Linked DNA regions of Stegostoma tigrinum. The protein of the gene in region 2 interacts with the protein of the main gene of each other region in a pairwise test. Links are inferred from orthologs where the notes say so. Each region holds a gene or a part of one and is shown on either strand. Other genes may lie near its edges.

Region 1 (6,945 bases), on a different chromosome or scaffold from region 2:
TTTGGAAATATATTCATTTTCCCCAGCTTTCCTATTTTACTCTATCCCAATAGTTTTAAAGTTGTGCCTCACCCTGAGTAATGCAAATTTCAGAAAAAAATCTAAATTCTTTATTCCCTAAAATTAACGCTCGTAGCTAATTAACAAATCAGTTCAGTAGTCAAGCCATTGACCCTTATATGTTTGAGTTGCCATTGACAAGCGAGATGCGGAATCTTGGCGCAAGGGACACACTGATTCTGTCAGCAATTTGCTTGTCAAATCCTTTTTCTTCATCGGATAGCATTGCTTGTTGATTATATTAACGAATACACATGTTCGCCCAAGTACAGTTTGCTTCCCCTTTGCCGACGAAAAGATAGCACTAGCGTATTTGAAACATTTATCTATTCCCAAAGGAGAAAATTTTCAAATTGGCCGTGTTGTGACTCCACATACAAATCGTTCCAATTATGGTCTTAAATACTACGATCAGCAGAACTCTCTGCAAAGGGCGGCGATCAGATTTCAGGATTTTCCTGACATATCCCCACCCCGCTTCCCATTCGTTTCCGTCCTGAGTTGGTAGAGGGAGAATCAATCCTCTGGCAGAGGCCATGTAAGGAGAAACTTGATTGCTTCTCACAATACAGTGTATAAACTTTTTTTTAAATAAAGAGGTTCCATCCGGGCTCATAGTGCCCACTTTGTGCCCGACACTTCAATTCTGGATACACATTTCATCCATTAGAAAAACTGCGTGAAATAATTCACCAACATCACACAAACGATGTAGCCAGATCTGTAGAAAATAGCAAAGGTCTCGGGATGACATCTATTAATTTGTAATGATTAGCCTCCAAAGAATACTGAAGTTCTTTATATGAGCAACGTTAACACGCCGAAGAATTTCACTCAAATATTTCAATCTATAACTGTTATTGATCAGGTTTCGGCAATGATAAATGATTTGGACAGAGTAACATTTCGTATTGGAAATTATCTTAGGTTTGCTCTGTGCAAATCTGCACTCTTAAATACCGCCGCCTCCGAACACGTACCCGTACGGCCTTCTCTCGTAAGATTTTCATCTCTGCCAGCGATCAGGTGTCTAGGAACTGGCCCAGGAACATTGTACAAAGATCAAATCGCATTGCTCCCCATTGCTACTTTTAAAGGTTGTTCGACATCATACCTACGGGCGACTATTGCACCACACAGTTCAAGGTAAGCCAGTTTTCAAGGTTGTCTCTTGTAAGGTGTTGGTAGATTACGTTCACGGAGAGCATTTGGACGGGGCTCAGTAACAAAAAAAACTAAATCTGTATAAGTGGATGTCTTGAAAAATCTGAAGGACATTTTACCTTTTTCGCTATGTGAAGTGAGTCAGGTGTTGGACGAAAATGACCTTTGCTAGTTTAACTGCAATGTTTGAATCTGAATGATTGCAGTTAACAAATCATTATATTGTAGAAGTAGAAAGGTACTACTGGGGCAAGTAATTGCAATCAAAGCCAATCCAGCAGGTAAGGCCTCTAAACAAACTAAACGATTATTCACTAGGTCTGTCTTTCACAGGATCACATTTGTCAAAGAAAATACTGTTCCACTGTCACCAACTTATCTTTTTAACTGGACTTTCGATTTCATTTGGCATTCACAGGGGCACTGAGTTAGGACACAGCCGTTATGCTGATACATACTAAATTCTTTAGCTTAACAGGAAATCACAGACTGACTGAAAATAAAATCGTGTTCACGTTCCAGTCCGGGGCATTCGGTTGCCGAAGATAAAAAACACACAAAAAAAGCAAAGAAATGCGGGTGCGAAGGGTCAGTGGATCCGAAATATTAACTCTGATTACTCTCCATAGTTGCTGCAGAAAAGCTGCTGAGCTTTTCCGGCAATTTCTGTTTCCAATTTATAAAAACCACTAATTTTGATCTTGCAAATCTTGTAAATAAATTTTGTAAACAAAGTTATCGGTCGCAAACTATCCACCCAAAAGCTGTTCCGCACACGTATGCATTTACATTACAGCCTACATTATTGCTAAAATCTATAGCCAAATACAGTTTTATTTACCTCAACACGTAGTAAGTGTTTGTTTACATTAAAGAACCAGCGTGAACACTCTCTTGTTCTTTGATGGAAACACAAATCTCTCTACCAGTAGCTTCTAGGGACCGGGTTGCCTTCGATTCCAGTCACTTAACGTTTTCTCGAGTTGGATCTGTCCCCAGGTATAATTATCATCGTGCGTTTATGGTTTGTTTTGTTTCCAAGTGCGAATCTATGACTGCCTGTAATCTACCCGAACCCAATAGCGACATATTTCATTTAAAAACTATGCGTGTTATTTATTTTTGCTCGCTTTCTATACTTTATCGCTGCAGTAACATGTTGAACCACGCTAACAACCGCTCTGCAGGTTGGGTCGAGATCCATTCTGAGAGCGTCTGTAATGCTGCTGCTGAGGAAAGGGCCTTCTCTCTCTATAACCCGACAGCAAAACTTCGATTGTTTAAAATCTCAAATCAAGAAGTTATATTCGGTCAGAAACAAATACCGTAAAGTAAGAAAAAGCCGATTATAAAGTTTTTCAAATAGATAGAAGGCGAGGACTAATTTATACTCCTCGCTTGTCTACCAGGACTCGGTTTCACTCCATCATGTACAAACATCGTGCTGAAATGAAACAAAAACAGAAATTGCTGGGAAAGCTCAGTAGGTCTGGCAGCGCTTGTGCAGAGAAATTCGAGTTAACTTCCTCGGAACTCATCTGCAGTTTTTTTCTGGTTTCCGCGCTGAAATGACATTTTCAAACTTTTTGGTGTGCTGCATTCGAGAGGAACTGTCGGGTTCCCTCACACGGCTTCTATGCGGTGTGAAATAACAGAAAATACCCCAAACCCCGCCGCAACGTCAGAGTTCTAAGTGAAAAAAAAAGCCCCCTCAAAATCTCTATTCCCACAGTCAGCGAACAAAATGCCCTGGGAAAGCGCAAGGTTCGAAATAACATAGCGGGCGGGAGAGAATGAAAACCAAACAGTAAAGAATAAATACGCCTGACTGGCTGCTTTTACCTGACCTTTAATCATATTGCCTTGGTCTGCTCGTCTTTGTGAGAATCCTGTTTGAAATGCTGGTGAGCAGCTGAATTTATCGACATTGCAACGTTTTTACAAAAGCACGTGTTTTCATTTCCCCCATTCTATTCTTCACGCGGGCGAGCTAGGAGCGAGGGGACTCACCATTTATGTGCATGACTTGCAGCTTTCGCTGTCTTCGGTACATGCTGTTTCCGCATGAATTGAAAGCATAGTTCCAGCGCAGTGCAGGAGGCCGGCTGGCTTTGCACTCGATCCGGAGTTTGGTTCCGTTCCTGAACCTCGGCAGCTGTCTCCCTGGCTGACAGGTGACGTCAGGCCTCCCACCCTCGGGCCAGGGCTGTGTGTGTGCGCTCAAGCACAGCACAGGTTATGTAAGAAGCTGGATGTCATGTTTGTTTCGTTCAGGGCAAATGAATGAGTCGGCGCTCTGTGCTCGGCAGTGGTTATAACTGGGAGAGAATGGGTGCAATTCTAACGGTTGGTAAAGGCAGAGGAAGCTGCTTCTTTAAGGTCGACCACCCTCTCTCGTTGGCTTCCATTGGGGCATTGGCACAAGACCCTCCCTCACAATAAGAATTACTACAGTCATGTCCTAAGCCCCTTTGATCCTCGGCAAATTATGAGCACCTTTCATCTGTTTATGTTGGAATATAAACTAAAGTGTTGCTTTCATAATCTTTTAGAAGAGATTACATTGTAAACAAGCGGATTAGGTACATTAACTTTCCTAGAAAGAGGACATCGGTTTTTATTTGGTATTTAATTGCCCAGAGGACGCACTTCGGTGCAAATTCAGTCGTGACAGCTGGCGAATTGTTTATTATTAATTAATTCATTTCACAATTTCCAAGAGAGAGAAGCGCATCACATACATATTTCACCCTTCAGCCCTTCACTAAGCATTTCACCGCGTCACATATCCCCTGTGATAAAACAGGGCCGTTCGCTCTGAGTTTACTATTGCGGAGGGGAACTGACTGTCCGGACGTACAACGTAGCGAGCGGGCCTTTCTTGGAACGGAGGCACTAATCGGATGGGAATAAGGAACTCAACAAACCAGCCACACCTGGGTGTAAAATTCACCCCAAACGCTCTCACATTGTTTAGTGGGGGTCCAGTGTTTATGTGATTGTGCCGTGGGCCTTTGTGAGGTACACTGTTACATCATGAAAAACAGTAAACATTTCGTTATTTATAAACACCCAACTGGAACAATTTTATTGTTTTACACAGCTCTACAATAAATTAGTGAATTTAATTTTAACGCTGAAACCATTACGTGTCTTCAACCCATTAAGCAAGTTTAGCGTGTCGCTGTCATCCAACTGGCAGACAGCACTTGTAGTCAAATCCCAATTTGTCTGCAGAAAATGTGCAAACCGGTGCTGTGAGACATTCAGCCGCAAGTTTTGGATTGGACACAGAGCGAAATGTAATCCCAAAGGCATGTAAGTAGGTTTTAAAAATGCTCCAAGTATTCCATTGCGTCGCCAGTACATTTTCTACACTCGTTTTTATGAAGTGAATACTTCTGTTTGAGTTTGTTAAAAAATGTACTGGCAGAGAGAATGGAGTTCTGCGCACGTGTGCAAGTATACACAGCTTCATTCCCTAAGTAGTCAGAATGCAAGTTTTCAGTTTGTTTGCACACGTTACATTGTTGGCTGATCTTCCTACTAAGCAGATTTCTTAGTTACAGTATAACCATAGTCTGTGTGGTATATAAACATTAAAATCAATTATAGCACTCTGTTGTTTTGAGTAGAAATGCAATTATCAAAATGTATGTGTAAATACTTTGTGTGATGGAGAAACACAAATTAGGTGTTACCCTGGCTCACTGATTGTGCTTTTGTGTCTTAGTCAGCATGTCATCAGTTCCTTCCAAAGATTGGAACATACTTTATCCAAGTTGATGCTTTCAGTGGAGGGTTCAGGGAGTGCTACATTGGCAGAGGTGCAATGTTTCAAATGAGATGTTGAAGCTGAGGTCTCGACTATGCTATTTTTCAAAATAGAATGGAGGCCGACTGTAAAATAAAACAAAGAACGCGGATGCTGGAGATCTGGAACACACAAAAACAGAAGATGCTGGAGGAATGTACTAGGTCGGCCAGCATCCGTGGAGGAAAAACAAAGCTGCACTTCGAGTCCAGTGACCCAATACTTTGCCTTCTCTCCACAGACGCTGTCAGACCTGTTGCGTTTCTCCAGCAGTTGCCGTTTTTGTGTGCTAGGGGACAACGCTTGCAGACCTGAAGAACATGTACGCGATAGTTCTCCAAGAACACCATACTTGGATTCTTGTGTGACCTCACGCTAAAGAAAATCGCCATAGAAAATCGCGTTATTGGGGAATTACTGTACTGTACTGCAGAAAGTTCTCATTATGGAAACAGCGTCCACAGTTCATCAATCGTGTTACAGCCAATTCGCATTAACAAAACATGCGTTATAGCAGAACTACCTGTAATTGTGAACCAACATCACCACTTCAAGAGGCCAGGCGCCAGCTCTCTGACACCTCTTGCTCCCGCCTCCTTGATCATGACCCTACCCCAACCACCAAATCATCATCTCCCAAACCATCCACAGCCTCATCACCTCAGGTGACCTCCCATCCACAGCCTCCAACCTCGTGGTTCCCCAACCCCACTATCTCTTTCCCAAAATCCACAAACCTGGCTGCCCTGGTCGACCCATTGTTTCCACCTGCTCCTGCCCCACCAAACTTATCTCCAACTATTTTGACTCCATTTTCTCCCGCTCAGTCCAGGAACTTCCTACCAATGTCCGTGACACCACCCATGCCCTCTACCTCCTCCAAAACATCCACTTCCCTGGTCCCCAACACCTCATCTTTACCATGGACACCCAGTCCCTATACACCTGAATTCCCCATATAGATGGCCTAAAGACCTTCTGCTTCTTCCTGTCCCACAGACCCAACCAGTCCCCTTCCACTGACACAATCATCTGTTTAACTGAACTTGTCCTCACCCTCAACAACTTCTCTTTCAATTCCTCCCACTTCCTACAGACAAAGGGGGTTGCCATGGGTGCCCACATGGGCCCAAGCTATGCCTGCCTCTTTGTAGGTTATGTGGAACTATCCCTCTTCCGTACCTACACTGGCCCTACACCCCACCTCTTCCTCAGTTACATTGATGACTGTATTGGTGCGGCCTCATGTTACCATGAGGAGCTCAAACAGTTCACCCACTTCACCAACACCTTCCATCCCAATCTTAAGTTCACCTGGACCTTCTCTGATACCTCCCTCTCCTTCCTGGACCCCTCTGTCTCCATCTCTGGCAGCCACCTGGAAATTGATATCCATTTCAAGCCTACTGACTCCCATAGCTACCTAGAATACACCTCCTCCCGCCCACCTTCCTGCAAAAATGCCATCCCCTATTCCTAATTCCTTCATTTCGGCCACATCTGCTCCCAGGATGAGGCATTCCACTCCCGTACATTTCAGATGTCCTCATTTTTCAAGGACTACAACTCTCCCACCTTAGTGGTCGACAATGCTCTAGACCGTGTCTCCCACATTTCTCACAACTCATCCCTCACGCCCCCTCCTGACAAGAACAACTAAAACAGAATCCCCCTCATCCTCATGTACCACCTCACCAACCTCCGGATCCCACCAGTCATCCTCTGACACTTCCGCCATCTGCAATCTGACCCCACCACCAAAGACATTTTCCCCTCCCTACCCTTATCTGCTTTCTGGAGGGACCACTCCCTCCGTGACTCCCTTGTTTGCTCCACACTCCCCTCCACCACACCCGATACTTTCCCCTGCAACTGCAGGAAGTGCTATGCCTGCCCCTACACCTCTT
Region 2 (6,970 bases):
TGTGTTTTGCTGAAAAACTTTTTTAAATAAGAAAACTACTCCAATTGCATGTTTCTCAGCTTTCCTTAGTATCCTGAAAACAGCATCTTTTATAGATAAAAACTATTTAACATCTTGATAGTAAGTGGGAAAACATAATCTTTGAGGCCTTGTTTAACTGCATACCTAGAAGCAATGATAAAAAACGTTTATTGTCAGAAACTTGATACTGGAGGAGTCCTGTGGGTGGAATTTTTCCTTATGCATAATGGAGGAAGAAAACATTTCAATTGCAAATTGATCATACTTTAGAATTTCAAAACATTTAACTTTTAAATTAAAAAGTACAATAGTACCACTGCAGCATTTTACTGCAAATGCTACAGTTGGTTCAAATAGGTTAATACGCCATGAATTTCATTGTAAACCATAGGGCCAAACTTTCCTTCTGTCAAACGATGTGGACATTGACAAGTCAGTTGGGAAAATATGACAAATTAGAAAATAAGTATTAAAAAGTCAAGAAAAAGAAATTTCTGTCCAGAACTGGAGATCAGAATTACATGTTGTGCTCTCCAGTGTATCCAGTCATGGTCATTGAAGCTCATGGAATGGTTTTTCCATGTCAGACGTCCTTGCAAGTCATGCCTGTGGCGTTGGCACCTTACCATCCAGATTGCAGATACTACTTGAACCAGAATCTCTGCTTTGGATAACTGGAGGGTGTACTGTGGCTATAGGATGGACAATGGGGATCTACGAAAGCTGAGGCATTGCGCCGAGTGAGAACATGAGGATGTTCCTTAGATGGAACCGTGCCTGCAGTATCATACAGCACAGAAGCATTGACCAAATCAATGTAGGCAGGACATTGTTTGTGAATACCATTCAATGAAATTGAGCTGTGCAAAGTCATCTTTCACTGACTGCAAATGATTTATGCTGCTGAGGCCAATATCCCACGTATAATCATGACTGTAAGCGCAGCTTAAAGTTTTGATCCTTCGATGTGACTCATGCTATTTAATAGATGTTAAGGTTACAAATGAATGGAAGCCTTCGCAACATCCAATGCTCCCTCACTGAATTGTGGTAGCTATGGAAAGGACAGCTATCTTTTAAGGATAGCTTGAACATCTTGTGGTGCTAAGGATGGCTAGTTTCTCTGCCTTCATTCTTACAGTCGCTGCTAAAACTCAATTGACTCACCCTGCTGATAATGAAAGGTAATCAACACTTTAAAGGCATCTGGATGGGTACATGAATAGGAAGGGTTTAAGGGGATATAGGTCAAATGCTGGCAAATGGGATTAGGTCAGATTGGGATGTCTGATCGGCGCAGATGACTGAAAGGTCTGTCTCCATTCTATCTGCCTCTATTTACAAATATGATAATGCATTTATAATAAATATCATGTACGCTATTAATATGCCCTTGTAAGGTCTTGTGCCTTTCACTCCTCTACATCTAGATGCAGGCATGGTGTCTGCAGCTGCAGTGAAGTGACAACCCCTTCTTCCACAGTAACTCATATTCTCAAATGCACTATCGTCTGCACTTCTTATATATTGAGATTCTCCCCCATCACAATAATTGTCCTCTTTGCATCCCAGCCAGCAGCATCCAACCTCCACAATTGACAGCCCAACTTTCGTTGACTTGCAATATTGGTAACCTCCAACTACTGTTGTCGCCCTTTAATGAACTGAGGTCTACACTTGTTAGACTTTCAGATATGGTGATTTGGCTGAAGCACATGCAGTGTGTTTGCCTAGTGAGCTGCTGTATCATATTATGGGTGTGACATTGAAATAACACGGTGCTGTACAGGATCATGTCTATCTTTTTGACTCATCACTTCTTACAACTAGGACAAGCTACCTGGTGTTGTGCCTGCACTAAATGGCAAGGCAAGGCAGAAAAACCATCAGCCTTTAAGTTCAGAATGAGTGGGCAATGTGAAAAGAAAACAAGGCAAGCAATGATGCTGTGAGCTTTTAAGTAGATGCAGAGTGAATGGGGTTTAAGAAAGCAAGCAAGGAACCCAGAGATGTTCCCTGGTTTAATTCATGAGATGGGTGCCTGACTCTGCGCTTTTCAAGCAGCGTTACAGTAAAAATTTGGAGTGCAGAACCATATTGCAAGTTAGTTGGATATGTGCCATGCGGATGCAAAGAGATTGGCATGTGACTGATGCCAACCTCTTTGAATTGGCTACGTGGTGTCGATGCCCGTGGAACACGCCCGGAGATGCAGATGACTGATTCCAAGATGGTGGCCTGGAGGAGCATGCAGGTGATTGAGGTTGCCAGATATCTGTTTCAAAGTTCATGTCAGGAATTGTCGCTGTCTAATTTATTTTCGGCATTTAGGAGAACAGGAAATTGCATTTCAATGAGGTAAGATTAGGTGTGATAGCATATTATCGTTATACAAGGTGACCTGTTGCTGCTCACTAGTATGCTTCTTATGTTGTTCAAAACCTGATTGCAGAATCTGATTCCTTTTTCTTGACGTTGAGGATTTAATTTTTGCTGATCTTGCCATATTTTCCCAACTGTCTTGCCAGTGTTCACATCGTGGGGGAGTTGGGGACTTACCACCTAAATTATTATATTATGAAATAGCAACCAAACTGATTTAATTGGTTTAAAAAAATTCTTAGCATCTAAGTTTGAAATGCTTCTCAGCAAACAATGAAGGGTGGCATGGTGGCTCACACTGCCAGGGATGTGGCTAAAATTCCAGCCTTGGGCAACTATCTGTGTGGAGTTGGCACATTCTCCTCGTGTCTGCGTAGGTTTCCTTCAGTTGCTCTGGTTTCCTCCCACAGTCTATAGGTGTGTACGGTGGGTGGATTGGCCATGCTAAATTGCCCATAGTGTTCAGGAACGTGTAGGTTAGATGGAATAGTCATGGGACATGAAGGTATACAGGGACAGTTTAAGTGGATACGTCTGGATGGGATGCTCTTTGGACAGCCAGTGTAGACTAGTTGGGCCGAATAGCCTGCTTCCACCCTGTAGGGATTCTATGAAGTTTCACTCACTGGCATCCTTTTAATGAGTCCTGATGTGAGATTCACATAAATGAGAATTAAAATTGAAACTTTGCCACCAATAAAATGCAAAATCACATTGGTCAATAATTTCACCAAAAAGCATGCCTTTAAAATTGGACCAACGATAAAAAGGTTTGTTTCTGCTTCTTCATTCAGCCTATATAAGACAAAATTTACACAAGCACAGAAATTCAACGGCTGAACATTACTGCCACCTGCAGTTTTCTCAGAATCATTGACAATTGACAACATAATTCTAAATACAATAGGCTAGCTACCGAGTCTACCATACCAGTAGACCCATGATTATGCTATTGTGGAGTGTGAACAAATATCTGAAGGATCATTTGCTCTTTCCTAACTTCAAGCCAGATCACCATTGAGACAGCATGAGGGTGAGTAAGATACATGATTCCAAATAAGATGAAATTCATGTATGGTGGATTATTCCTTAAAAATTTCAAAAATTTGCTTTGTTTTCTATTATGAGAAGATATTTATGACTGAATCATTACTATATTTGAGATTATGAATATATAAAAGATAATATTAATGGCAATTTCAGATTTTTTCTTGTCTTAAAATTGCTGCCGTGAACATTTATGGCTTCCTGTTTTCTTGTCTTTTACAGAATCTTAGCACTACTCGTAATGTAGAAAACACACAGCACCTGTTTAGGTAAGAATCTATTCAGCTAAAATACAAAGTAATTAATGTAGGAACAAACTATCCCCAGAACACTAGGTGATGCTCTAGCACTGTTGTTGCATCAGGATAATGTAACATCTCATGCTTTGTAAAGGAAATAAAGCAGCTATGATAGAGAGGCTGATGTATTCCAGCTATCCTGGTTGGATTGTGATCTGTCAGTCAGCCTTTTATCCCCAACCCTATTCACTTGTCCAAGGGGTTGAATGCCGAGGTTGTTGGTGGCTGCTTGTACTAGATCTGGCGGTTGAGCAAAAATCAGTATGAATCTCACCCGAGGGACTATGAGGATGCCCTGCCTAAGTGTGTCAATGCAATAGTCATGTGGCTGTGAATAACAGCAAGCTCTGATCATGAGAGGAGGAAATCTTCAAGCAACTAATGTGCTTTTTTTCACCTGCAGTCTCCTTGATTCTTGTTTAACTGTTAATTTTGGATTATCTTCGGCATCTTGTATTCATCACTACTTCCTGAAAAAGTCAACATAGAGCTAGGAGCAGCATCACTTCAGCTTGAATAAGGACTCACTCTGGAGATAGGAAACCTGGCAGATTTGTTTTAAATCAGCAAATCAAAAGTTGTGAATGGATTTTATTTGGTCTGACCTGAAAAAAAATCACCTGATGCCTATTAATTCGGTTCTAAGGACAATATTAAATATTGATTAATTAAATATCTTCAAATTAATCAAGTTTATATTAGATAATATTTATGTTTCACTGACAGAAAGATGTTTTTGCTTTCAAAAAATTCTACAAATTCAGATGGTAAAATAATGGTGAGAAGGTTTCTTGTAACCTTAAGGCCTTTCAGGTAAGTTTACCTTCAAGTTTTGTTTTCAATTACACATATAAAATAATTTAGTATTGATGATTGATATGACTTGTGTGGAACACTTGTGATCAATGCTTGTGTCAAGCAAAACTTACACTTTAATCTCATTGTAACTGCTGCTGGTCTAGATTATATGGTTATGAATCTCAGTTAATGTTTGTCATTTCAGTATAAAGACAGCTTTCCATGCTGGCAACACTTACAGTATTTACGTTTGCAATGCTCTGGGACCACCCTAATTCAAATGATGCTTTCTATTCAATGTAGCAATTGAGTTTGAGATGAATCTATGAGAGGCAGACAATACCATATTCTCTGTTTTTCATTCGTGGAAAGTTACATTTAAAACATAGAGGGTAAGGTGTGGAGTTGTGGCTGATGGGTGCGGGCACCAGGAGACGGCTAGTCACATTGAAATCACTCACCTTCCCACTATGAGATGCCACATGTGTTTCAGAATACATCCTGGTGTGATTGATCTTGTTTCTCCATGCTATTTCCATGGGGTCATGGTGTTAAGTACATGTTCAAGGATATAGCTAGGGCCGGGGGAGGGGATGGAGCTTGACGTTTGTTCAGTAACAGTTAAAAATACAAATCTATAAAATATCAGTGTATGAAATGTTACGTAAATATGTAAACTGATAATCTTGCAAAATCATTAAAACTGAATTTCAGAAAGGGTACATTTTAAAATATTGGTCGTAATTACATTGATATTAATTACAGTAATTTGCATGGCAAAACAAGAATGCTTTCTTCAATTGATGAACTTTGTGAAGCAATTGATTAATCTTGTGTTGCAAATTCACCGCATACAGCTAGGAACATATTCAAAAAGGATGCTCTAGAGTGTTATTGTTATTGTTGAACAGACATTTCTGTTTCTGTGTGTTGATCTGAAATTTAAGAGGACCTGTTTAACAATATCCAAATGATAGAGAAAAAGATGTGTATTTCATATTTAAAAGAAAATGCAGAAGTTGACCTAATTATTATTGCCAGAAATTTAAAATTGTAGAGGCAGGAATTCACTGCTTTTAGGGAAAGTACTTCTGGGAAACAAAATACATAAATAAGAGAATGTTCCTGTACCTTTTGATGACTTTCAGCCTCACGTACTTAATACCTACATATTCTTCAGGAGCTGGACTTGATCTAATTTCATTGTCAACATGTGGTACAGTGACAAAAGTAATAGGATCACCGTTATACCAGAGTCCTTCTAGGGTAGGCATAGAAGCAGACATATGTCAGAATAAATAATTTGGGGATGTGCTGCTACACAATCCCTCTCATTTTTTAAATTGCTCACCTACTTCATCTCCTGCCTGAAAGCCAACAATTAAATGTAGGGCTAGCCTAGAATGAATCTAAGCCTAAACATTGATTAAATAAATGGTACTGTTCATTTATTGCTTAGTATCAAACATAAAATGTGTTTTCTTAAAATATGTTAGAAATAAGTTGCCACCTCAGAAGCATTATGCCAATTTTTAAGATTTAGTATATGTGCATGGACAGCAGAAGTACATCTATTGTTCTTACTACATTATGCCGTTCAGCAGGTCACATAGTACCACCATGCTGTTGAATCCAATTATGAGTTACTAAGTTAGAATGAAGTATGGTCATACTTTTAAGCAAACAGTCAAAGTGTACAAGTGAATAAAGTAAAATTGTAAATTGACAACAGTATACGTGTAATCAAGTATACAATATAGAACACATTATATTTCTAGTATTCTCATATACTAGCTAACTATAAAGCAAAAACTTGTACGTTAGTCTGATATGCTCTCTGCTTGATTCTAGGTTATTTGTGGCTGGAATTGGATTCTTCACCCTCTGTTTTATAATGACCTCCTTTGGCGGACAGCTTACAGGCAAGAGAGTGGGAGACTCACCTTTTGGCATTAGACAATTAGGTAGCAAATCTGAAGGTAAATGTAGCTTTATGTCAAGTGCCATTACATTAACCTATTTACTGCTATCCATCTCTGAAAAAATTAAAAGAACCTGGACATACTCCAGCAAATTTGTCAAACGTGATTTCCCTGTAACAAAATCTTGTTGATTATGTTTTATTGCATTAAGCTTTCGTCAATGCCCTGCCATTTCTTCCTTAATAATGCGCTCCAGCATTTTCACAATGACAGCCATTAGGCTAACTTGACTGTAGTTTGCTAGTTTCTTTTTGGGATTTGGGGAACAAATTCCAGCCCAGAGCCACTGATACTTTTGCCATTGACCATAGGTGTGAACAATCTGAATCTCTTCCCAGTAAAACAACAGTGATCCCTTTGAAAAGGGTGAGTGATCACCCAATACCAAGTAATGCCTTAGGAGTAAGTTGTCTTGATCAAAATGAACAATTTTTATTCAAA

Evidence for each region.
Region 1: the proteins of alpha-1,6-mannosylglycoprotein 6-beta-N-acetylglucosaminyltransferase B (region 2) and pitx1 interact in a two-hybrid assay, tested with the Homo sapiens proteins (2 studies listed by BioGRID). The link is inferred for Stegostoma tigrinum from reciprocal best matches to the Homo sapiens genes MGAT5B and PITX1.

What each region holds. Positions count from the first base shown.
Region 1 is NC_081366.1:31,311,110-31,318,054, forward strand, and holds the start of pitx1 (pituitary homeobox 1), read right to left. Parts: upstream 3,097-6,945; 5' UTR 3,082-3,096; coding exon 3,067-3,081; intron 1-3,066. UniProt on the Homo sapiens protein: Sequence-specific transcription factor that binds gene promoters and activates their transcription. May play a role in the development of anterior structures, and in particular, the brain and facies and in specifying the identity or structure of hindlimb.
Region 2 is NC_081375.1:32,599,322-32,606,291, reverse strand, and holds the start of alpha-1,6-mannosylglycoprotein 6-beta-N-acetylglucosaminyltransferase B, read left to right. Parts: upstream 1-3,872; 5' UTR 3,873-4,479; coding exon 4,480-4,562; intron 4,563-6,398; coding exon 6,399-6,526; intron 6,527-6,970. UniProt on the Homo sapiens protein: Glycosyltransferase that acts on alpha-linked mannose of N-glycans and O-mannosyl glycans.